Linked DNA regions of Arabidopsis thaliana. The protein of the gene in region 3 interacts with the protein of the main gene of each other region in a pairwise test. Each region holds a gene or a part of one and is shown on either strand. Other genes may lie near its edges.

Region 1 (4,875 bases), on a different chromosome or scaffold from region 3:
GCATTAATTTTTTGATAGCAAACAATTAAGGAAATGGGGGAAAAAGTGTAAGCGGGCGGCCAAGTGAAGACATTCTCTGTCGCCCACCCAAACACCAAAGAAGAGAAGGCGTGCCTCACTTTCCCTCTTTCTCCACGCACTTCTCCTTGCCCGTGTTTCTCACTCGCTTTACCCTAATCACTCCATTACAACTATACCTACAAGACCATTAAGATAAGCTTATCAATAAGAACACTGAGATAAAGTTGATCTCTATTTACGAATTGTTTACTACCAATAGATTTTGATTCGTACCAATCTTTTAAAGTATGTATGTATTGTTTGAATAGTAGTTCTACCGAACCAAAAATATTTTAATTGATCATGTAAAATATATTTAAGATTGTTGTGTGTTAATTATAGTGATCTTTAGAAAAAAGAGTAGCCAACGTGATAATGAAAGCGCGTGTTAAGAGTATTGAAACACTCACACGCTTGTGGAGGTTACCTGCTAAGTCGGTCGATTTGATCGATGGTGGGTCTTTTACACATCCCCAACGTCATTTACCATTTATTCAACCTCATATATTATGTTCTTGATGATGAAAAAGAACATAATATTTTTTTTTTTTTTTTTTTTTAATTTTTTTTTGATGATGATGAAAAAAAAAAATATTATGTTCTTTTTTAATTTCTTTTTAATATTTTTGACAGTAATTTTATTTTAATCTTATTTTGTTACAAATAGTTTTTAATACCTTAGGACCTGTTGGAACTTGGAAAAAAACAATATTTTTTAATATCTCAGGATCTTTGCCCATACATGTTTTGGGCACCCATGCGTTTATATGAAAAACAGCATGCAGATGTAAAATATAAACAACTGTAGATTTGGTCAGATGTTAAAATTTAAATTATGTCTTTTGAAATGTGACCTATAATTGTCCAGATAGATATACATAACTATTTAGTAATTGTAAGTCTATTTCCTGTAATGTATTCAGCTAAATGCATGTAGATAATCTGATATCACATACATCTATAGCCATATAGAGAATGCATAGTAACATCAACAACATATAAATTTTGGGCTATTTTCTAATGAGGGTTTTTGAGTATAAATGGATCTCCTAAAACGAGTTTACCGGATGGGTAAGGTAGTAGTTCCCTTTGAGTTTTCTTTCTGCTTTGTATAATTAAAACAAAGTAATTGATTAGGAACTTAGTAGGTCCTAAAGAGAACCAACAATGGTTTCGGTTATAAATAAACCAAATGGGTACATTATCCTTATATCTAGAAACTTTAACCAAAAACAAGATGTTATCTAGAAACAATAAATACATCCGGAATGAGACTTTTTCTTATGTAAGTCGATACAATGGGGGCATTGTTTTATTTCCCTTCAAATGAACTTTGCTTTTTGATCATTTTAAAAAGCCATATTGAAAAAATCAATGAGATAGGAAGATAGATATTATAATATTCTTTTTATAAAAAAGACAAAAAAAATACACTAAAACAATTGAATAAGAGTCAGCAAAACAACGACGTCCTTACCTTTTTTAAAAGTTTCCCAGTTTTGACTTTTGACCTAAACCATTTCCATGTAGAAAGAGAGCAAAAAACAAAACAAAACAAAGATAAGTAAAAAATAAAAATGATATAAAGAAGGAAGAAGAAGACCGAGAAAGGTAGACGAAAGAAAGAGCGTACCTTCCTCTTTCCTTCTTCGTAAAAACCAAGTTCCTTTTAAAAGGAGCCTCTCCTTTCTCATTTGATCCTTCTTCAAAAACCCCAACCACTTCTTCTCCCCAAAAACCTCCAAAGTTTCAATCTTTACTTCTCTCTTTTTCTCCAAGTTATCTTCTTTTCTAGGTATGTCTTGATTCTTTCTCTCTCTGTTTTTTCCTATTTCATTCAGGATTCTGGGTTTGGTTAAATCTTTAATCTTTATGGTTTTAATGGCTTGATTTTGACGAAACGGTCGTGTAATTATTCATTACTTTGCTTAAATTGGGGATTGATTTTGTGTATAAAGAAGAATCTTGAAAATGAAAAATTGAAACTTTGAATCGAAAGAACTCAATTTGCGTTGCTCTTTCTCATTCTTTGTTGCTTTCTCCTAAAAGTTTTTCACTTTTGAATCACAGGAAGAGATATGTGCGGTGCAAAGAGCAACCTTTGCTCATCTAAAACCCTAACAGAAGTCGAATTCATGAGGCAGAAATCAGAAGACGGAGCTTCCGCCACGTGTCTCCTCGAATTCGCCGCCTGTGATGATCTTTCATCGTTTAAGAGAGAGATCGAAGAGAATCCATCGGTGGAGATTGATGAGTCAGGGTTTTGGTATTGCAGACGGGTCGGGTCTAAGAAGATGGGTTTTGAAGAAAGAACACCACTTATGGTTGCTGCTATGTATGGAAGCATGGAAGTGTTGAATTACATAATTGCCACAGGAAGATCCGATGTGAACAGAGTTTGCAGTGACGAGAAAGTCACTGCTCTTCACTGTGCAGTTTCTGGCTGTTCTGTTTCTATCGTTGAGATCATCAAGATCTTGCTTGATGCTTCTGCTTCACCTAATTGTGTTGACGCTAATGGGAACAAACCGGTTGATTTGTTGGCTAAAGATTCTCGGTTTGTTCCTAACCAGAGTAGAAAGGCGGTTGAGGTTTTACTGACCGGGATTCATGGTTCGGTTATGGAAGAAGAGGAGGAGGAACTGAAGAGTGTTGTGACTAAGTATCCAGCTGATGCATCACTTCCTGATATTAACGAAGGTGTTTATGGAACTGATGATTTTAGGATGTTTAGCTTTAAGGTTAAGCCATGTTCTAGGGCTTATTCACATGATTGGACTGAATGTCCTTTTGTTCATCCTGGTGAGAATGCAAGGAGGAGAGATCCTAGGAAGTATCCTTACACTTGTGTGCCTTGTCCCGAGTTTCGTAAAGGGTCTTGTCCTAAAGGAGATTCGTGTGAGTACGCGCACGGTGTTTTCGAGTCTTGGCTTCACCCGGCGCAGTATAGGACACGGCTTTGCAAAGATGAGACTGGTTGTGCTAGGAGAGTTTGTTTCTTTGCTCATAGACGGGATGAGTTAAGACCGGTTAATGCTTCTACTGGTTCTGCAATGGTTTCACCAAGGTCGTCTAATCAGTCTCCTGAGATGTCTGTTATGTCTCCTTTGACGCTGGGATCATCGCCAATGAACTCTCCTATGGCTAATGGTGTTCCTTTGTCTCCAAGAAATGGTGGTTTATGGCAGAACAGAGTTAATAGCCTTACACCACCACCGTTGCAGCTTAATGGTAGCAGATTGAAGTCGACTTTGAGTGCTAGAGATATGGATATGGAGATGGAACTTAGGTTTCGCGGTTTGGATAACCGGAGACTTGGTGATCTCAAGCCATCCAACCTCGAAGAGACTTTCGGATCATATGACTCAGCTTCTGTGATGCAACTTCAATCACCAAGCAGGCATTCTCAGATGAACCACTATCCGTCTTCACCTGTGAGGCAGCCTCCTCCTCATGGATTCGAATCTTCAGCAGCCATGGCAGCTGCAGTGATGAATGCAAGATCCTCAGCGTTTGCGAAACGCAGCTTGAGTTTCAAACCAGCTCCAGTAGCTTCTAATGTCTCCGATTGGGGATCACCAAATGGGAAGCTTGAGTGGGGAATGCAAAGAGATGAGCTGAACAAGTTGAGGAGAAGTGCCTCCTTCGGCATTCATGGAAACAACAACAACAGTGTGTCACGCCCTGCTAGAGACTACAGTGACGAGCCAGATGTGTCGTGGGTGAACTCACTGGTGAAAGAGAATGCACCAGAGAGAGTGAATGAGAGGGTTGGGAATACGGTGAATGGTGCAGCGAGTAGAGACAAGTTTAAGCTGCCGTCGTGGGCAGAGCAAATGTATATAGACCATGAGCAGCAGATTGTGGCATAAGAAGCAGAAAGAAAGATGTGGGATTTATATTGCTTTTGTCTTCTGGGCCTCTCTACACAGAATCTAACAAATCTGGCAATAATTCTTTGATTTGTGTTTGACCCATAGTTTGGTTACTAGTATATGTTTTTTTATGTTCTTTTTTTCTTTGTCATTCTCTTGTCCTTCGTGACACTATGTAATGATTAAAAGCAAATAATTGATGCATGAGTTCAAATGTTCTTTGAAGGATCCATCTTATTAGCTTTGTAATTGTTGTGATATCTTAATCTTATTGGTTACGTATTTCAAGTGCTTTAGAAAAAATGGGCCTAAGAGATTTTGGGGAGCTTTTTTGGCTTGTTATTTTCCTCACATATACAACTTGCAGCTTATTATTTATTGAAAATCTTTTCTTATCTAGATTCAAAAAGATTTCCACAAATTTTAATTAACGACCCCTGATTACAAAGAAACCTACCCAAAGTCAAATTTTGTCCATAATTTCTATCGTGTAGGACACTAAAAAGTAAAAACTCATACCTAATTGGTTTCTAGTAGAAACGGTCAGTGCACTATCTTTCTTTCAGGTTATCGAAGGAAAAAAGATCAGTAGAGTAGCATCGTTAATAGTAGAGTTAAGAAAAGCATGTAACATGTGGTCTACTTTTTATTTCACAGAAAAATACCATACCATGTGATAATGTCGCATAAAATCTTTACTTTTCCGGTGTTATCGATGTGTGTTAATGCTAAATACCCGAAACAATTTCAAGACTCAATTTTGAACTATCGAATAGAATTCTTCTAAAATGGATGAGGAAAAAGTCGCTGGTTTAAGTCGTGCGACCCTCAAAATAAAGTTAGGAATATAATCACAAGCTGCATACTTTCATTAATCAATTTAAAAAGAAACGACTAACTTTATTCTTTCTTTGCCAAACTCCATAATTAGTTAAGTCTA
Region 2 (5,341 bases), on a different chromosome or scaffold from region 3:
GTAACGGTCACGGACCAAAACGACATCATAATAGTACATTTCCCATCACTCCATATATCAACTCGTGCCAAGCAACTACTTACCCTCTTTCAAACTTACTAAATATACTGGTATACATTAGATGTCGATAATCTCTATCATGCAGGGACTGTTTTGATCCTTAAAACGTGAGATTTGTTTTCAAATATATCACCTCAAGCTTACCAAAAATAATGTAGACAAATCAAGGATAAGCAAATGTATATTTAACCGAATTCAAATCCGCATATCACATGTTTTATTAAAAAAATTGTATATCCATTGAAAGTTCTAAGCGAATCTAAGGCCAAAGATCAAAACACGCATGTACGGATCTCCACTCTTAACTCCTTCTAAACTACTGTAGACGTTCAAGACGAAAAAATATCTATATAAAAATTTAAATAGTTAATTTCAAGGTTTTTTTTTTGTTGATAAAATTTAATTTTAAGGTTCTATATGAAACCTAGGATAAAATCATTTTTCAACAATTTAAAGTGTAATGTGGCGGAAATGACAGTAACATAGTTACAAAACATAGTCTAATATTGTTGGACCAAAGAAACAACTATATAACAACCATTACATAATATATGGTAGTTGAAAAAATTAACACAACCGGTAATTAATACACAAAAGTATAATAAAGTTAACCTCAATTTAAATATCTTATGTTTTCTTCGGTTTTACTTAAAAACCATTTTCCAACTCTCCGTCAGTATTCGCTGACGACATGTAACTCACGACAAGAGACGTCTCATCAGCCGTAGCCGCCGGAACCGCAACTGCTTGAAACTGTCCTTTACATGTTTGACAAGTGACCTGCATGATCGTTGAACTTATCTTCTTCATAGATTGTTCCTTTAAAAACTTAGCTCTCTCGAGTTCAGCTTGTGCTTTTTGCCTAATCTTTTTGGCATTTGCAAACTCGTTTTCCGCTATCTCTCGTTGCCTCTTGGCTTCTCTTTTAGCTTCCTCAGCGTAAGCTTTCTCCTTCATCGCTATCTTCATAATTTGCTCGCTCGCCATAATCTCTTTTATACGATCAAAGTTGTTGTAATGTTGATATGATGATGATGGTGCAATGGAGAGGTTTAAGTTTGTGGTATCATGATTATGATTATGATGATGAGATGGTTCTTTAACTTTTTGTTGTTGGTTTTCTTGATTAGGGTTTTGATTCGACGATAATGGAAGAAGTTGGAGTTCGAGGTTGAGATTGTTTGATGAGTTGGTGAGAATTGAAGATGAGATTCTCTGATGAATTGGACGGCCTTCTAGAGGTTGAGGAGTCGTAACCGCAACTGTACCGCCGTAATTGGTTTCACTAGACGGAGTGCTGACGGTTGAGGCGGTTCTAGAAGAGCATGCCGGGACTGTTACCGCGGTTTGTGGTGGTCGAGGCGGTTCACGGTGAACTCTCCGTGCGGAACAATTATCTTGATGTTCAATAAAACTCTCCACCCTAAAAGAAGAAAAGAAACCTATCAATTACATAATTTATATGACGTAGGATTATGAAAATGTGACAAAGTTAATAATTTTATATTAAGTTTTTCTGTTTAAACGTCGTTTATTAAATACCTTTGAACTCAAAAATATATATTATTAATATGAGTTTAGGTCCAATTATAACCTTTGTGTCGAAAAAAGGTCCAATAATAACCTAAATACATAAAATATTTCTTTAGAGATTGGGGTCAATGTCATTAATCTAAGTGCTTAACTTTCTTTTTATGTCACAAAAACCAAACAAATAGTCAAGAGATATATTAAAAAACTCTGATGCATACACATCAATACACAGAATTAGTAAAAATCATGAAGGATAGTCAAATCAAATAGTACTATAACTATCAATCTTAGTCTTTGGTCCCTAGAAGAATTTTCTATATTTGTCTTTCTATATGATCTCCTAAATATACAAAACAAACAGAGTCAAATTACTTGTATATTTTAGAAATACTTAACAAATCCTTCCAAAAGTTTGCATATCTTTTCAGAATTAATAATACCAATAATTAATTTATAAAATGGGTCAAAAAAAAATCAAATGATAGAGAGGAACAAGAAATTATACCTGGAGAAGACACGACCACAGTCACAAGAATGTCCTCTAGTACCACAAGTTTTGAGATGAGCTTTGTAATCAGATTGAACAGCATAACCTTTAGAGCATCTCTCACAAACCCATTGCTTATGGTTACTATGTTTTCTTCTGAAATGTTTTTTGATGCCGACAAGATCTCCCAGAGCATGACAAGGATTATGGTGAAGGCAAGTGGGTTCAGGGCAAACATAGACTCGTTTCTTCACCTCTATGTTGTTGTCTCTTTTAAGAAGCTTCCATGGAACTTTGTGACGTCTTCTATGCATCTGGAGATTCTGGTCTCTTTGAAACCCTTGGTTACAGATCTCACATATGTATCTGTCTGATTCAAGAAGAGTTCTTGGTGATAAAGACACAACTTCTGCATCTGGATCTGAAAAGGAGATAAGGCAAAACCCATCAAAACACATGTCTTAGTTGATTAATAAAGTTGAGATTTTAAATGAGGTTTAAGAATTAAAAACAATGAAAACCCATTAATTGTACCTATAACTTTGAAACTGGCAATAAGAAAAAGAGAAATTTTAAAACTAAACCTATAATAAACCTGTATTTCTAATGGGGTTTAAGAGAAAAAAAAAACAAAAAACAATAGTACCCATGAGTTGAAAATTTTCATAAGAAAATAAAAACAAGAAAAAAAGATTTTGAAAAATAAATTTTCTGTAGTGGGGATTTATTATTACCTGGGGTACCTGCAGGTCTTCTTTTCCTCTTCTGAGTGGATGTGTTTGTGGTGGTGACCCCATTTTCTGAAGAGGAGAGGAAAGGATCAGAAGAAGAAGAAGAAACCACACAACATGTGTTTGTGTTCTTGTTGGACAACATCACTTGATCTGTTCTCATCAATTACTCTACTTTTCTTGATCTTTCTTTTTGACTTTATTGTATTTGGATTCTAGAGATTGATTTGATGAAAGAACAAGGCCCAAAGACCAAAAAAAAAAAAAAATGAAAGAAGAAGAGATAGTGGGAGATTCAGCTTTACAAAGAAGAGGAAGGGTGATAAAGAGAGATATAGGGGGAGAGAAAAAGTTCTTTTAAGCTTTCTGCAACAAAGGCTTTTCAAAACTTTTTCTTAGGCTCTTCAAAGTTTCTCTTATGTTAATATGATGAAAGCTTTTTAATTTTCTTGAGTCTCTCTCTCTCTAGCTCTCTCTTTGGGTATATATTTTGACTCTTCTTCAAAAACCTATTTCTCTCTCATACACTTGAGAGTTGAGAGCAAATAAGGGGTCTTTGATGTCTATATTGCTTCTACTTATAAAGCTCATTGCACTATGCCATCATTGCGTAAAATGTATACATACACTCGTGTAGCTAGAGAGAGAGAGAGAGAAGGTGGTGTATTTATTTAGATTTAGATGTAGATTTTAGATTTTTCTTTTTGTTATTTTGTATTTATTTTTTAGACTTTGTTTCTTTGAGCATGTTGGATATATGAATTTTTTGGCTTGGACCCATATCTTGTCTGATTGATGAATTTGTCTGATTTTCTTGAACCTTCACAAACTATTTTTTTTTTTTTTTTTGAAACATTTTATTTTATGTTTGAGATTATCTACATGAGTTTCTTCTAACAAATGAAAAAAAAAAATATATGAGATCATACGTCCACATGTAAGGCTTGCCTTTCATCAAAATATTATGCAGGTTAGAGGCTTAAAATAGCAATAGTTGTATTGTATCTGCAAATTAGGAGAGAATTTATGAATATCGATACGGTGCTAACTCTTAGATGATGTAAGAAGCAATTAAATAATAAGGTTAAGATACTTCATTACTTCTAATTAACTTTTTGACTGTCACTCTCAAGTCCTATAAATAGTGTGATTATACATCACTAATACATCTTGCGTTTCATTATTGTTAAAGCAATCCAATAATATATAGACAATTTAAGAAAAATTGTCATTGTTAACTATATATGAATGTTATGTCATCATGTTTCCAACGTTGGTCCACATACATGTTAAGATTCTTTTCGAATTACACTTGGAAACAAGGAGAGAAAAAAAAAGGTATATGGTTCTTGTGAATAATCCAAGGATAAAAATGCATTATTGCATTAAATACCAAATTCTGTAAGTTTACAATAATGCAGACAAACTATTATTTTTTCTTTCTATTTGGCTTATATAATGGATGTACTAGTGCCCATACATAGTTAGGGGAAGAAAAAAGACAAATATATCAAATTATACATGCGTATAAAAATAATTCAAACCAAGAGTAAATGTGAAAGTAGTATTAGTATGTTTTTATAAAACCCTATTTTAGTAAAATTCATATTCGATCCCTCGCGCACGTGACCTTATGTCTTACTCACGTGACCTCTTTTTCCCTCCACTCTCCACTGTCGATTCCTTTTAGGCTATTGCCTTTCTTCTCAGTCATTCCTTAAGAAGGTTCATTAACAGATCTAAGAATGTTACTGGATCAAGAATGAAATGAATCTTATATGAAAACATTTTTTTTTTTTTGATGGAACTCATATGTAGACTACCAAAATTAATCATTATTATGGTTTAAATTTTCTCAATCATAAGTTTTGTTACTTTAACACATTTTCTCTGTTTCAATTATGGTTTAAATTTTCTCAATCATAAGTTTTGTTACTTTAACACATTTTCTCTGTTTCAATTGTAAATGCCATATGTATTCCTTCCTTAGCTTGATCGCTATTCGCTACTAGTTGTTTTTATTTTTGTTATTGCCGAATAATAAATTAATTTGCAGATAAAAGAAACAAAAGATACCTCATAATGTTTTTTGTCAGTTGTCAAAAATTGGTTCTAAATGGACCGAAAGGAAAAACAGAACAAATTAGACGAGAAGATGTGATCGAGTTACTACGGTGACAGCTTTGTATAAAGGAAAGAAATGAGATCGTGTTTGTAATCATTTCCTAAGATGAGATTACTCTCCCATCTCTTACTTAACCCTTTGCTTATCGATTATTACCACTGATTAGATCTTTTCTAGCTGATACATAATGCATGATATTTATTTCGGAGCTACAAAATTATAAATTTGTAGTTTCTAATCGTTATATATGGACTTGAGAGACCACAACATCTTAAATGAATGCAAAAATTCAAAAAGAAACAAAAACATGTTAAATGAAATACAATAGTCTGATTTTTAATAGTCAAAAATAAATCGACAATGGCCTAGTGGTTGATCCAAGGTTAAAAGTTATACATAAAAGTT
Region 3 (8,000 bases):
CATAAGCTTACAAAAGTACCAAAATACTTGTATAAGATATTTATACAAAAGAAAGACAAACTCCAAATTCCTGATGATGGTCCATCTAACCACAAGAAGGAAAGAAAAACAGTAACTGTAACACAAAAAGAAATCCGAAAGCATTCTTTCTAACCTAGTTTTTGTTTTTGTCTAATTCAGTATGTGACAGGGGAAGTCAAATTCCCGAACCTCGTAAAACCATCTACATATTCACTTTCAAGTAAAAAGTTTTTCACTGCTTAGTTTCATCAAATAAGCAGACCAAAACTTAACACTAACAAACACTCAATGGTATTCTCTTGTGAGGTTCGATCTTGACTCCTCCGCTTTTCTCAAACTGAAATCTCTCTCTTTTTTCCATCATCACCATTTTGTTATTTCCTGCAGAAAGAAGAAGAAAAATATGATTACATCATATAATGGCGTAAAAGCGAGAAGAATATATTTAGTGAAAGTAGTACCTAATGGATGGTTTTCAAGCAGTCTCACAAGACATTGAAGCTTTGATTCTCTCAACAGTGCAAGCTATTAGATTGTTGACAGTTGCAACAGAGCCAAGAGACAGCTTAGCCGTAGGAACTGAGTCAACCAGAATCTGAAAAGCAACAGTCAAGAGCGACCCTCCATCTCCTCCAGGGGCTCCACTATTGGCATTACCATCAGGAAGAATAGCAAAACCTGATGGAAGCAGAGCCACATAGTCTGGATCACCTCCATTAAGCACTATGTTCATAGCTACAATATCGACTGGAGCATAGATCACAAAGGAAGCTGTAGGATCAGTGCAGCTCTCTTGTAGGATCAGCATATTGCTCTGGCTAGAGTTTGCACTCTGTGACATAAAGAAAGATTGAAAACTCTTAGCTAGGATCAGATGATTATAACAATAGTTCAAAACCCGGTGTAACTCACATTTACCCGAAGAAGAGAAACACAGTTTCCGGTATCCCTCCCGTTAGCAATATGTGCCATTTCTTGCACAACTCCTCCATTAGACAGAATATCCCACTGCAAAATCTCACAAAAACATCAAAACTCTGTCCAAAACAGAACAAGAGAGCGTAGTAACTAAAATAGTTACCTCATTTCTTGAATTCTCGTCTCTGAGGAAGTCAAAGACTCGCTTTGGAGGAACAGGGATCCAAAAAGAAGTGGCTGCACTAAGAACAATACCAGGAGGCCTTCCTGGATCATCCACACTCTTCCTAGTCATCACTCTAACATCTTCAGCTCCTGTACCGGACAATGTAGTCCACGTGTGAGCGGTTGAAGCACTCACTCCTGCACAAAAGCTTATAACCATCCGCTCTGCCAATTTCAGCATACTCCTCCTCCCTTCTTGGTTGGTTATCACTGCATATTCATTAATATAGAACTGTGATTCTGACTCTGACTCTGATTATGAAAACTGTTTATGAAACAAACAGTAGGTTATACCGCCAACTTCTCCAGAGGAAATGTTTGTAGCCATGACACTAGCTAACCGCTCGCATTGGCGGTCAAGAATGGCTACCCAGCGTTTAGCACCAAAGGCATGACCAGTACTAACCATGTGTTTGTATAAGTTATGAACTCCTCTGTCATCAACTTCCACATGCTCCACCCAAGTCACCTGTTACATTAATTCTCTCTACTTAAGTAAACATTTTGTATAACCTAATGTTTTTATTATATTACCTTAGAATATCCATTTGGCAATTCTTGAATCAAACATCCTGAAGCTCGCCGCCTGCATCTAGCCGGGGGATTTGGTTGGAGACTATCCAACGAAATATCGACAACCGCCCACGAACCATCTCCTTGTTGTTTACAGTAACGTGCGAAATAGGTTTCACGTGTTGGGACTAATGGAGATGGAACTTGAAACTCTGCACTCATCTGCAAGCAAAACAGAGTGGTTATTTCAGTTTGAAATTTAATTTTTACAGAATAAAAGCAAAAAAAATTACCACTTGAAGAGCTCCATTATAGTTTCCTGCAACTCCTGTCGATAAAACCGCTAATGTCATTGCTCTAGAAACCATCCCCGCGAAAATCGTCGACCATTGATTCTGCAACATCATATCAATGTTGTTGAAACTAAACAGAGAAGATTGCTTTTAAGTAAAATGAAAATGTTAATTACCACATCCATGAGAATCTCAACGATGTTAACATGATTCATGATCACAACCGCGCTTTCTCGCGAAGCTTCTGATCTATATCCAGCCGGTCTAGGTCCGATCCCTCTAGGAAAGGTCCTTGCATATTCTTCTTCGTCTAAAACCAAACTCTTCCACAGAGGCTCGTCTACTTGAACCATCCTCATGAGCTCTTCCATTGCAGCCACGGATAAGTCGATGATGACAGGTTTGTCAGATTCTGTTGGTGCAGTGATGGACTTAAGGAGATCGTTTGGATTGTTTCCATAAGCTTCTCCTCCAATATTTCCCATGGCGAGTTCTAGTGGACGTGGAGGAAGAGGAGGAGGAGACATAAGTGGATAGTTTGAGACTGGCTTGCCTACGTATTTAGCTGCGATTGCGGATATACGGTCGATCTAAAACAGACAAATAAGAAAGATTATTGATCCTTGTGGTTTTCAAAGTTTGGTCACAAGAAGAAACGTTGAGTAATGTTGTTATTATGTACTACTACTCCTTACAGTTCCAAAAATATCGTTTTAGTATCTCAATTTAATATCATAATTTTTTCTATTCTTCAATGAAAAAAAAATGTTTAAATTCTCTAATTTCAATACAAATCTATAAAAGTTTTTATTTTATGAAGAAAGAAATGATTATTGTGAAAGCGATATAACATTAGTGGTATAAAAACAAATTCTAATTTTTTATTTTATCTTCTTGACAACATTTAAGTGTAAAACTCTTAACATTATTTGAACATTTAAAATAGTTGATTCTCATACCTCTTCCCTTAATCGAGCATTTTCGAGACGGAGTTGGTGTTCGTCGAATGACATTTCTCCGATAGCTGTTGGACCACCACAATTAGGACACGAAGCATTTGCAAGAGCCTCTCGATATCTTAGGTTGTCGTTTCGAAGCTTTTCGTTCTCCGCCCGAAGATGTGAGTTCTCATGCCGCTCGTGATGATTCTGCGCAAATAAAACTTATATTCCGGTTATCTCTAAAGTTTTATACAAGTGATTTATTTCTAATTTGGGTAAAACGAAGGAACAAAGGATTTTACTTAAAAAGAGGAAAAGTGTATGTTTCAAATAAAACACTCGTGTACACGTTATGTGTTTCACCGTATTTGCATAACGTAAGCATATGTGTCCAAAACGTTTCAATCTATAGATTATATATGGCTCTAACTAAGATAATAAATAGGCAATGTTGTTACAACCAAACAATTTTCTATAGCTTGATCCGCCAAATATATAGTTCTGCCAAAGGAACAACTTTTCAATTGAAAAAAAAAATAAGTAAGAAATTTTAAGTCAAAGTGTCTCAACTAGATCTAAAATCTGCCAAAAGTCAATGAATTCATTCTGAAAGAAAACACCAGCCACCCAAAATGTTCTTAAGTATAAAGATAAGCCCTTCAATGTATATATACAAGACTTAATATGAATGAAATAACAATTTAATTAACAAGTATATATATTTTCTCTAATATATATAGATCCATTAACTAATGTATATATGTTCATAATATAAAAAGTATACCTTCATTTGGGTACGTTTGTTTTGGAACCAGAATTTGACCTGAAGAGGTTCCAAATTCAATTCACGGCTTAGCTGTTTCCTTTGCTTGTCATCTGGGTGAGGACACTCTTTGAAGAACCTATTTAACAACCAAAACAAAAGAATTGTCAAAAAACACACAAGAAAATTGAAGTAAGTGAGTAAGTTAAACACATACGCTTCCATCTCCTGGATCTGAAGTTGGGTGTGTCGATGATATCGTTTCTTCTTGTTAGGATGAAGAGGATCTTGGTCGTTTCCTGATCCTCCTTCTTGATTCTCACTTCCCGATTTAGTATTCGGACTGTCGAATTCATCGTCCCGAAGAAATCCTTCATTATTGTTGTCTTCATGGTTGTAGTTGTGGTTATTGCTGTCTGCGTTGTTCATAGCCGCAAGCAGCATATTTGGCTCGAACATCTTTTCTTATACTCCGGAAACTGAAAGCAAACCCTAGAAGCAAAAAAAAGTAGAGAGTTTTGTCAAAATTTAGGGTTTGAAGAAGAAGGGAAATTTCTTCGAGGCTGGAAAAATATGGCAATACTTTTGTCCACGTCAACAACTTTACAACCTTCTTTTTGTATGAACAACAATAACTTAAATCTTTCTTCGGAGTCGTTTATCTTTCTTCTTGAAGATCATACAAAATGATATAAGCAAACAGAAGAATTGGAGATGATTGTAGGAAACAAAGGACCCACTAATTGAAAGCAAGAAAAAAGAGCCTTGCATAAAAAAGACATCACAATCACAAATTAATTTGTTATTGAATAACCAACCCAAAAATAATGAATTTTCACATACTCAAAATTATTCGAAACTACCGATTTTTTACCCTTTTAAAAGAAAAGAAAAAAACTAATCAGCAGACTGAAATAAAAACTATGATTGATTCAAGAGTCATATCATATGTAGTGTAGATGGAAATCAATTGTTGTCCAAAGAAAAAACTTTAAAATTTCTACACTATAATAGCTTTGATGGATGGTGATTTAATTTAAAATTTCGAGGTATTTTGATCAGTTTTGATTTAGATGGGATAGGAAAGAGAAGACGAAAAGAGAAATGTTGGACTCATTTGTTCAAAGCAAATAAAATGGGAAAAAGTAGGTACAAATAAATTCCCAACTCTATCCTGTTTATTAAAAAAACAATATTTTCGTGAGAACAAAACAAAATTTAATTAAATATAATCATTAGTAGATTTTCAAAAAATAAAAACTCTTCAGGAAAAAGTGTAAACTACTATTTGGCGATTAAGAAAGAAAAAAAAATTGAAATGAAAAAAATAGTATTATATCTGTGCACCTGTGCGACGGACCAACATATAGTTATTATACAACTTACAACCAACGTGACATAAGGCCTGGGTGATGTATTAATTTTTTCCAGCTATTTCTTATCATCATCATCGTATTTAAACGTTTTTATTACACACATTAATATGTAAATGTATACTACTACTATAAAGTATATACACGTGTTTATATATAAAACCAAACGTATAATGAAAATAAGGATATACGAAGAGAATACAAACCTTTCTGTTTTTTTTGGTAGGCAAGGGAATACTAACCTTTAATCTTTCCTCTTTATTGTTTTCTTGAAGGTTTCATCTCTGACTATGCAGAAATTGATAAGATTATTTAAAGAAGAATACAATAAATCAGAAAGTCAGAAAGCAAATTAGGAGAGGAATGAAAGATATTAGAGGCAAGAAATCAATTAATTAATGCTAAAGAAGGCAAAATTTAAGACAAAATATAGATGACTAACTGAAAATTCAACATACAGGATATATTAAATTATAAAAAAAAAACATCATGAAAGTGAGAGTTTTATAAAGATGCTAAGAAAACTGAAGTGTAATGGATCCAATGATACTTTAAACAAATAAATTTGTGTACATGAATTAATGGATAAAATAAAGAAAACAGCAGAAATGATGAGGTTTTCGAGACATACACTGGGATATAGGAAGAAGCGACGAAACCCTAGAGGGAGAGAGAGAGAAGAGTAGAGCGGTGTCTGGTCTGAGATTTGTTTCTCGGAAAACCGCTGATGGTTTTGTGAAGCGCGGTTTTGTTGGCGAGCAAAAGGTTTGAAAGGTAGGTGCAAATCTTGGAGGAAGAGAGATGAGAGAGTAATGACAGAGAGAATTGAGAGGGTGCAATGAAATTAAATGGTGCGAGAGGGACACTTAATTATCCTACACGCTTATATATATATAGAGAGAGAGAGATATGTTACAATTTATTTTATTTATGTTACAAAATTATGTGTTGTTTTTCATCTTATATACAATGTCAACCTAAAATAATTTTATTTTTTATTTATTTAAAATATTATAATGTGGTGAGGAATGACGGCTAACGGTCTATGAGCCTATGAGACTTACATTTATCTATTAGATATGTAGTTATTTTTAAAAAATCATTAGCATTATTCATAACTTATGCATATGCAATAAATCACCACTTAACAAAATTAACTATATTAAAAAAAGATTTAACTATATTGAAATTTGCTTTAATACAGTTCTCCATTTACAGAAAAAGTTAGACAATAGTCCCCATTTGTCAAGGATACAATTTTAAAAGTAATTTTCTGAAATTTTAATACTCTTAGATTATTTATAATATGGAAAAAAATTATATAGTTTTTTAACTAAAATTCAATGACTTGTTATAGTTAATATTTATCTTTATGAGATATAAATTTAATTTTTACTTTCAAAAAATATGACTATTATATTTTTAACTATTTTATTTTATTATTATTTCATATCTTTGTTATAAATTTAATTGTAAAGAAGGAAAATTTCATGATTCTTCTTCCACATGGCATTTTCTTAAATATTATAGAAGTTTAGGTTGTATTATTGTTAGTCAGACAGAAGTTGATTGAGTGATGTATTTATTTTATTTCATTTAAAAGAAGAAAATCTAAAAATCATCACCTTAATTTTGAGTTTTGTTTACGAAACAATTGTTTTTTCAATTTAAGGAAGTCAATGAAATATCACTTTTTTCACAGTAAGACTTCATTTTACATGCCTAGAAATATTAATTACTTTGTGGCCCAAGCATTTATAACTATAACGTGCAATTAAGCTATTTAAAATACGGATCACCCATTAAAAAGGTGATAATTTGTAAAAGCCATGCATTCATCTTAATTTATCACGCGAATATATAGAGAAATATACTGCGTATTTAATTACCTAGTTCTTAAGCTTTGTTTTTTTTTTTAAAGTCCTTATAGCTATAGCTTTAACACTCAAGTTTTTCTTTTCAGTAAGTTTATACTTTACCTAGATTCTTTAAAATAACTATATATAAAAAAACAATAACCCAACTTATTTCTGATTTTTACTGTATATATGTAGGTACAGATATATAGATGGAGTTATACGTACGTACGTATGCGATAGGGTGGCGAATAGTTTCGACGCATTAAATGTGTACACAGAGGCTGCATGGGCTTTAGGCCATTTACTGCTCTCATGCCTCTCTTGCACTTTAACCTCCTCTTCCTTCTTCGTACTCTCCTACTAAAAAAAACTAGTAATTCAACGCCTAACATTTTAGTTTTTTCTTTTTTTTTTTTTTTTTTTTTTAGTTTTTTCTTTTTTCCTGCTACATCACTAAAAGTTAATTATTTCAAAAAAGAATTGCTACAATACTATTCACATTTTAAGTTTGTTTCATCCTCGTAAGTCTCAAATATTTATTTTTAGTTTATTTCTTTTTTTTGTCAAACTTTTAGTTTATTTCAATTAGTGTTTTTTCTGCCAATATGATCAAATCTGAGATTCAAAATGGAATTCTTCTGTTGAAAAAATGGATGCTTTTGTAATAAATTCAAGATCGTAGTTTTTTTTTGTTTCTGGGCTTCGTATATGGGCCATAAGACGGAAGTAAACTTTTGGCCCATTATATATTTTATCCCCAACGAGAATGGCAAGGCCGAAAGTCTCATTCTCCGAGAGTGGAAAGTTAGTTAAGGAAAATGATTGATTTTTTTGTTTTGTTTTGCATTAGTCTATAGGACGACTTGTTTCACAAGAAACTAGCCGTATATTGTAATATCCAATCACTGAATTGAGCAACTTGGATAGTTTACATTGAGAATGCAGGAACGTGGATTCCACAAACTATAACAGTTTATTATAGTTTTTAACTTTTGAGAGCTAAGGACTAATAAAAAAATTCCCCAAACTACATCTTCTCCAAAGTCAATAGCTTTTCAAAGCGCAAAAGATGATTTGAAGCTTTCTTAATCGTT
Region 4 (4,107 bases), on a different chromosome or scaffold from region 3:
GTTTTAGAGATTGTGTGTTAAATTTAGTAACAAACTTACTTTCATGCTATTTATGAGAATTGCATATTTCTAGACCAATTTTTTATTATTATAATTCATATAATTATTCTTGAATTATTTATGTGCTATTTGTGAGAATTACCAATTTCTAGACCAATATTTTATTATTATTCATATAATTAAACGTTTATTGAATTATTTTAGCTCTAAAAAATATAATGAAATTTAGAATTGTTATAGAAACTTTAAATGACTCAAAACTGATCTTTGTTTTTTTGTCAACCACACATTAATTAAAAACTGATCTTTGTTAAACATCTAAATATTGAAAAACAAAAGGATTACCACCGCACCTATCCTGCATCGTCTTGTACCATTTGCATTCATCAGAGCCATTATATATTCATGTGGCTGTCACATCCTTATATACATTTCAACTTATAAATTTAATTTTGTACGTTTAGCAGATGTTGGTGAATTCATTTATTCAAGCTTAAGGTTTAACTCGTTCTTGTCTCCTTTAGGTTCATAACATTTAATGGACAACAACTACTCCAAATATCCGTGGACTTTACCACGCGACGCACCGACAATTCTCTAGCCTTTTCATTAATTGATCAGTAAAAACACTTCTATAATTTTAATTATTCTCAGAAATTTTAACCGGTAGTAACATAAACGTAGATGATCGAAAAAGATGAAATCGAGGTCTCTGTTTTGTGTCGAATTAATAGATCTATAAGAAATCAAACAATGAAAATTAAATAGATGAATGAAATATGTTTTGACGACGTTTTCACGTCACTGTTTAAGTTATCTGTTAGTAAAATTTGATAGCATTTAATTTGAATTGCTATGTAACTCGGAATAAATTCGACGGCAAGAGGTGTGGGATGTGATCAGTCTTCTAATTAAGTGTAATCTTTACAAAAAATCAGTATGAGTTAATACAGGTTTATAAATAGAAAGACATCTACAGTAAAACCTCTATAAATTAATAATGTTGGGACTGCAAAATTTTATTAATTTAGAAAGATTTTAATTTATCGATAAATTAATATTTATTAATTTATAGAGAGATTTTCGTAATTTAGTAACTTTTCAAAAATTTCTATAAAATTTTTTTCATTATAGAAAATATCTTTCAAAAATCAATTACAAGTAAATAATAATATCATGTTTAGAAAACAACACCAAAAGTTTTTGATAAAGTAAAATACTATAACTAAATTTAAATAAGAATAAATACAAATTTTAAGCAAAAAAATATTAGAATTATATTTCAAAATAATTTCTTACATATAATGTATATATAGTTGATATATTTATAAAATTATTAATTTATGATATTGATGGGACCATATATTTACATAAGATTTTTTAAAAAGTTATTATCTTATTAATTTATCGATTTGTGTCACTTTTTACACTGATCCCAACTCGGGACTGGAAGAATTTATTAATTTATAGAGGTTATTAATTTATCGAGTATTAATTTATAGAGGTTTAACTGTATATGAATAATTGAATACACATGGGACATCATTATAGTTACCTTAGTACGATTTTATGCATTTGGTTACCAAAATCCACTAGGCTTCGTAATTGGTTGTGGGTCAGTGTCCATTCGATAGTTTGCATTAGCGATAAACACTTAAAACAGTAAAACGTGATCTATTTTTAAACAATAACATTTCTTCTTATCAAATATTCACATAATTAATGAAGAAAAGAGACGAATTGATAGGCAATAAGAAATATGATCACTTGGTACCATTGTATGCATGGTATGAACTGACATCAAGTATTTGTACGTTGTAGGGTAATTATTAACATTGTAGAATGACAAGTATGATCAAATGGAAAAGGATTAGTTATATGTAGCAAAACTAGTATTTGTACTTGGACTATCTTGTCATGTAGTTTTCCTAACGCTATATATAATCCAATAACCCCATGACACGGAAGAGATAGGGGACATACAATAAATATCAGTAGAGAGGACGTGGGAAAAGCAGAGAGTTAAGTGAGTAGTTGGAGATAGAAAGATCAGAGACGAGGAATCTCTCTCCCACTCTCACTTTCTCTCCTATTCTTAGTTCGTGTCAGAAACACACAGAGAAATTAAGAACCCTAATTTAAAACAGAAGAATGGTACATTCGAAGAAGTTCCGAGGTGTCCGCCAGCGTCAGTGGGGTTCTTGGGTTTCTGAGATTCGTCATCCTCTCTTGTCAGTTCTCTCTCCCTCTCTATCTATTAATAGAGACAACAGTATAAATCTGTTTATGCAAGTCCATGCTATGAGTTAAGTTTACATTTTTGGTGTACGTGTAGGGCAGTTTTCTGATCATTGATTATATTTTCGAAGATTCATGCAAAGCTCTTATAATATCATGCATTTTTGTTTAAGTCGTTTTCCTTATTTTTTTCCAATTAAAAAACCCACGTTTATTAACATATACATATGTTGAGTATTTGTACTTTTTGTGTTGTATTTTGAAATTTTGAGTGTACATAAATTTAAATGCTTTGTCATATAATTGATACTGATGTATTTTCTATGTCTTAGTTGGATTATAGAAAATCATATAGCAAAGAATTGGGAAGGAACGAACACTACTCACTATAAACTTTCCTCAAAAAGAAAACGACCCAATTTATTATCAGTAACAATTTATAACAAATTTGTTGTGTGTTTGTTTTAGTACTTTGAAGTTTGAATAAAATGTGTGTTTTTTGCTTACGTAACTTATGTGAGCTATCAGGAAGAGAAGAGTGTGGCTAGGAACATTCGACACGGCGGAAACAGCGGCTAGAGCCTACGACCAAGCCGCGGTTCTAATGAACGGCCAGAGCGCGAAGACTAACTTCCCCGTCATCAAATCGAACGGTTCAAATTCCTTGGAGATTAACTCTGCGTTAAGGTCTCCCAAATCATTATCGGAACTATTGAACGCTAAGCTAAGGAAGAACTGTAAAGACCAGACACCGTATCTGACGTGTCTCCGCCTCGACAACGACAGCTCACACATCGGCGTCTGGCAGAAACGCGCCGGGTCAAAAACGAGTCCAAACTGGGTCAAGCTTGTTGAACTAGGTGACAAAGTTAACGCACGTCCCGGTGGTGATATTGAGACTAATAAGATGAAGGTACGAAACGAAGACGTTCAGGAAGATGATCAAATGGCGATGCAGATGATCGAGGAGTTGCTTAACTGGACCTGTCCTGGATCTGGATCCATTGCACAGGTCTAAAGGAGAATCATTGAATTATATGATCAAGATAATAATATAGTTGAGGGTTAATAATAATCGAGGGTAAGTAATTTACGTGTAGCTAATAATTAATATAATTTTCGAACATATATATGAATATATGATAGCTCTAGAAATGAGTACGTATATATACGTAAACATTTTTCCTCAAATATAGTATATGTGTTGTGATTCTAAGACTTGTAAACTGATATGGCCTACTGTTTAAAGAGTAGTTGATATTTTCTATTGAATTTGTGGACATGATATAATTACAGGAGATTAGTATAGTAGTCATTATGATACTTATGAAGGTACAAGTGGTAGGATGATAATTAATTAGTTTAATAAAGAATAATGAACATTAAATGTGAAAGAGATTTGCCACTTTTGTTAAACACATCTGCGAATCAGATTCTTGTGATTCGAATGTTAGTCCTACCTAGATTAAGAAAGGTTTTACTATTTTAACATGTTTACCTGGTTTGGGTAAAGTTCATGTCCTGTCCTATTCCGTCTTGTCCCGATCATGATAAACTTTATGAGCAATTCTTATAGAATTTTATTTTAAAATACTGATTTTTGATATTCAATTTTATTTGATTATTTTTTACTTAGGCATGTGATAAAGGCGATTTTGACTTAGTTTCACATACAAGTTTAAGTAAATTATCTTACATAACAAAAGAGATTCAAGTAAATAAATCTAAGCGGGCTAAAATTAATCAACTAGCTCAAGTTGAAACATTTTATCAAGTGAACCTCTTCCAAGTCTAGATAGCATCTCAAGTTTATATATGATATCATATCATGGACACACTTTGGATTTTGGATATTTTGTGTCGATGTTT

Evidence for each region.
Region 1: the proteins of HDG2 (region 3) and CZF1 interact in a two-hybrid assay, tested with the Arabidopsis thaliana proteins (one large-scale study listed by BioGRID).
Region 2: the proteins of HDG2 (region 3) and SGR5 interact in a two-hybrid assay, tested with the Arabidopsis thaliana proteins (one large-scale study listed by BioGRID).
Region 4: the proteins of HDG2 (region 3) and SHN3 interact in a two-hybrid assay, tested with the Arabidopsis thaliana proteins (one large-scale study listed by BioGRID).

Annotation. Positions count from the first base shown.
Region 1 is NC_003071.7:16,770,399-16,775,273, forward strand, and holds CZF1 (zinc finger (CCCH-type) family protein), read left to right. Parts: upstream 1-1,598; 5' UTR 1,599-1,855; intron 1,856-2,130; 5' UTR 2,131-2,138; coding exon 2,139-3,932; 3' UTR 3,933-4,336; downstream 4,337-4,875. UniProt on the Arabidopsis thaliana protein: Involved in salt stress response. May positively modulate plant tolerance to salt stress.
Region 2 is NC_003071.7:430,285-435,625, reverse strand, and holds SGR5 (C2H2-like zinc finger protein), read right to left. Parts: upstream 3,352-5,341; 5' UTR 2,975-3,351; coding exon 2,815-2,974; intron 2,780-2,814; exon of another isoform or gene 2,615-2,779; intron 2,502-2,614; coding exon 2,115-2,501; coding exon of another isoform or gene 2,099-2,114; intron 1,503-2,098; coding exon 709-1,502; 3' UTR 549-708; downstream 1-548. UniProt on the Arabidopsis thaliana protein: Transcription factor involved in inflorescence stems gravitropism, probably by regulating starch accumulation in amyloplasts of graviperceptive cells. Required for stem circumnutation movements. Regulates lateral organ morphogenesis and gravitropic responses.
Region 3 is NC_003070.9:1,512,892-1,520,891, forward strand, and holds HDG2 (homeodomain GLABROUS 2), read right to left. Parts: upstream 6,010-8,000; 5' UTR 5,679-6,009; intron 5,336-5,678; 5' UTR 5,290-5,335; exon of another isoform or gene 4,167-5,289; 5' UTR 4,134-4,166; coding exon 3,892-4,133; intron 3,814-3,891; coding exon 3,696-3,813; intron 3,119-3,695; coding exon 2,930-3,118; intron 2,561-2,929; coding exon 2,147-2,560; intron 2,073-2,146; coding exon 1,971-2,072; intron 1,900-1,970; coding exon 1,699-1,899; intron 1,672-1,698; exon of another isoform or gene 1,634-1,671; coding exon 1,459-1,633; exon of another isoform or gene 1,375-1,458; coding exon 1,103-1,374; exon of another isoform or gene 1,030-1,102; coding exon 934-1,029; coding exon of another isoform or gene 913-933; exon of another isoform or gene 854-912; coding exon 497-853; 3' UTR 483-496; exon of another isoform or gene 409-482; intron 403-408; 3' UTR 10-402; downstream 1-9. UniProt on the Arabidopsis thaliana protein: Probable transcription factor. Involved, together with PDF2, in the regulation of flower organs development by promoting the expression of APETALA 3 (AP3) in the epidermis and internal cell layers of developing flowers.
Region 4 is NC_003076.8:8,818,486-8,822,592, forward strand, and holds SHN3 (Integrase-type DNA-binding superfamily protein), read left to right. Parts: upstream 1-1,972; 5' UTR 1,973-2,151; coding exon 2,152-2,231; intron 2,232-2,766; coding exon 2,767-3,256; 3' UTR 3,257-3,577; downstream 3,578-4,107.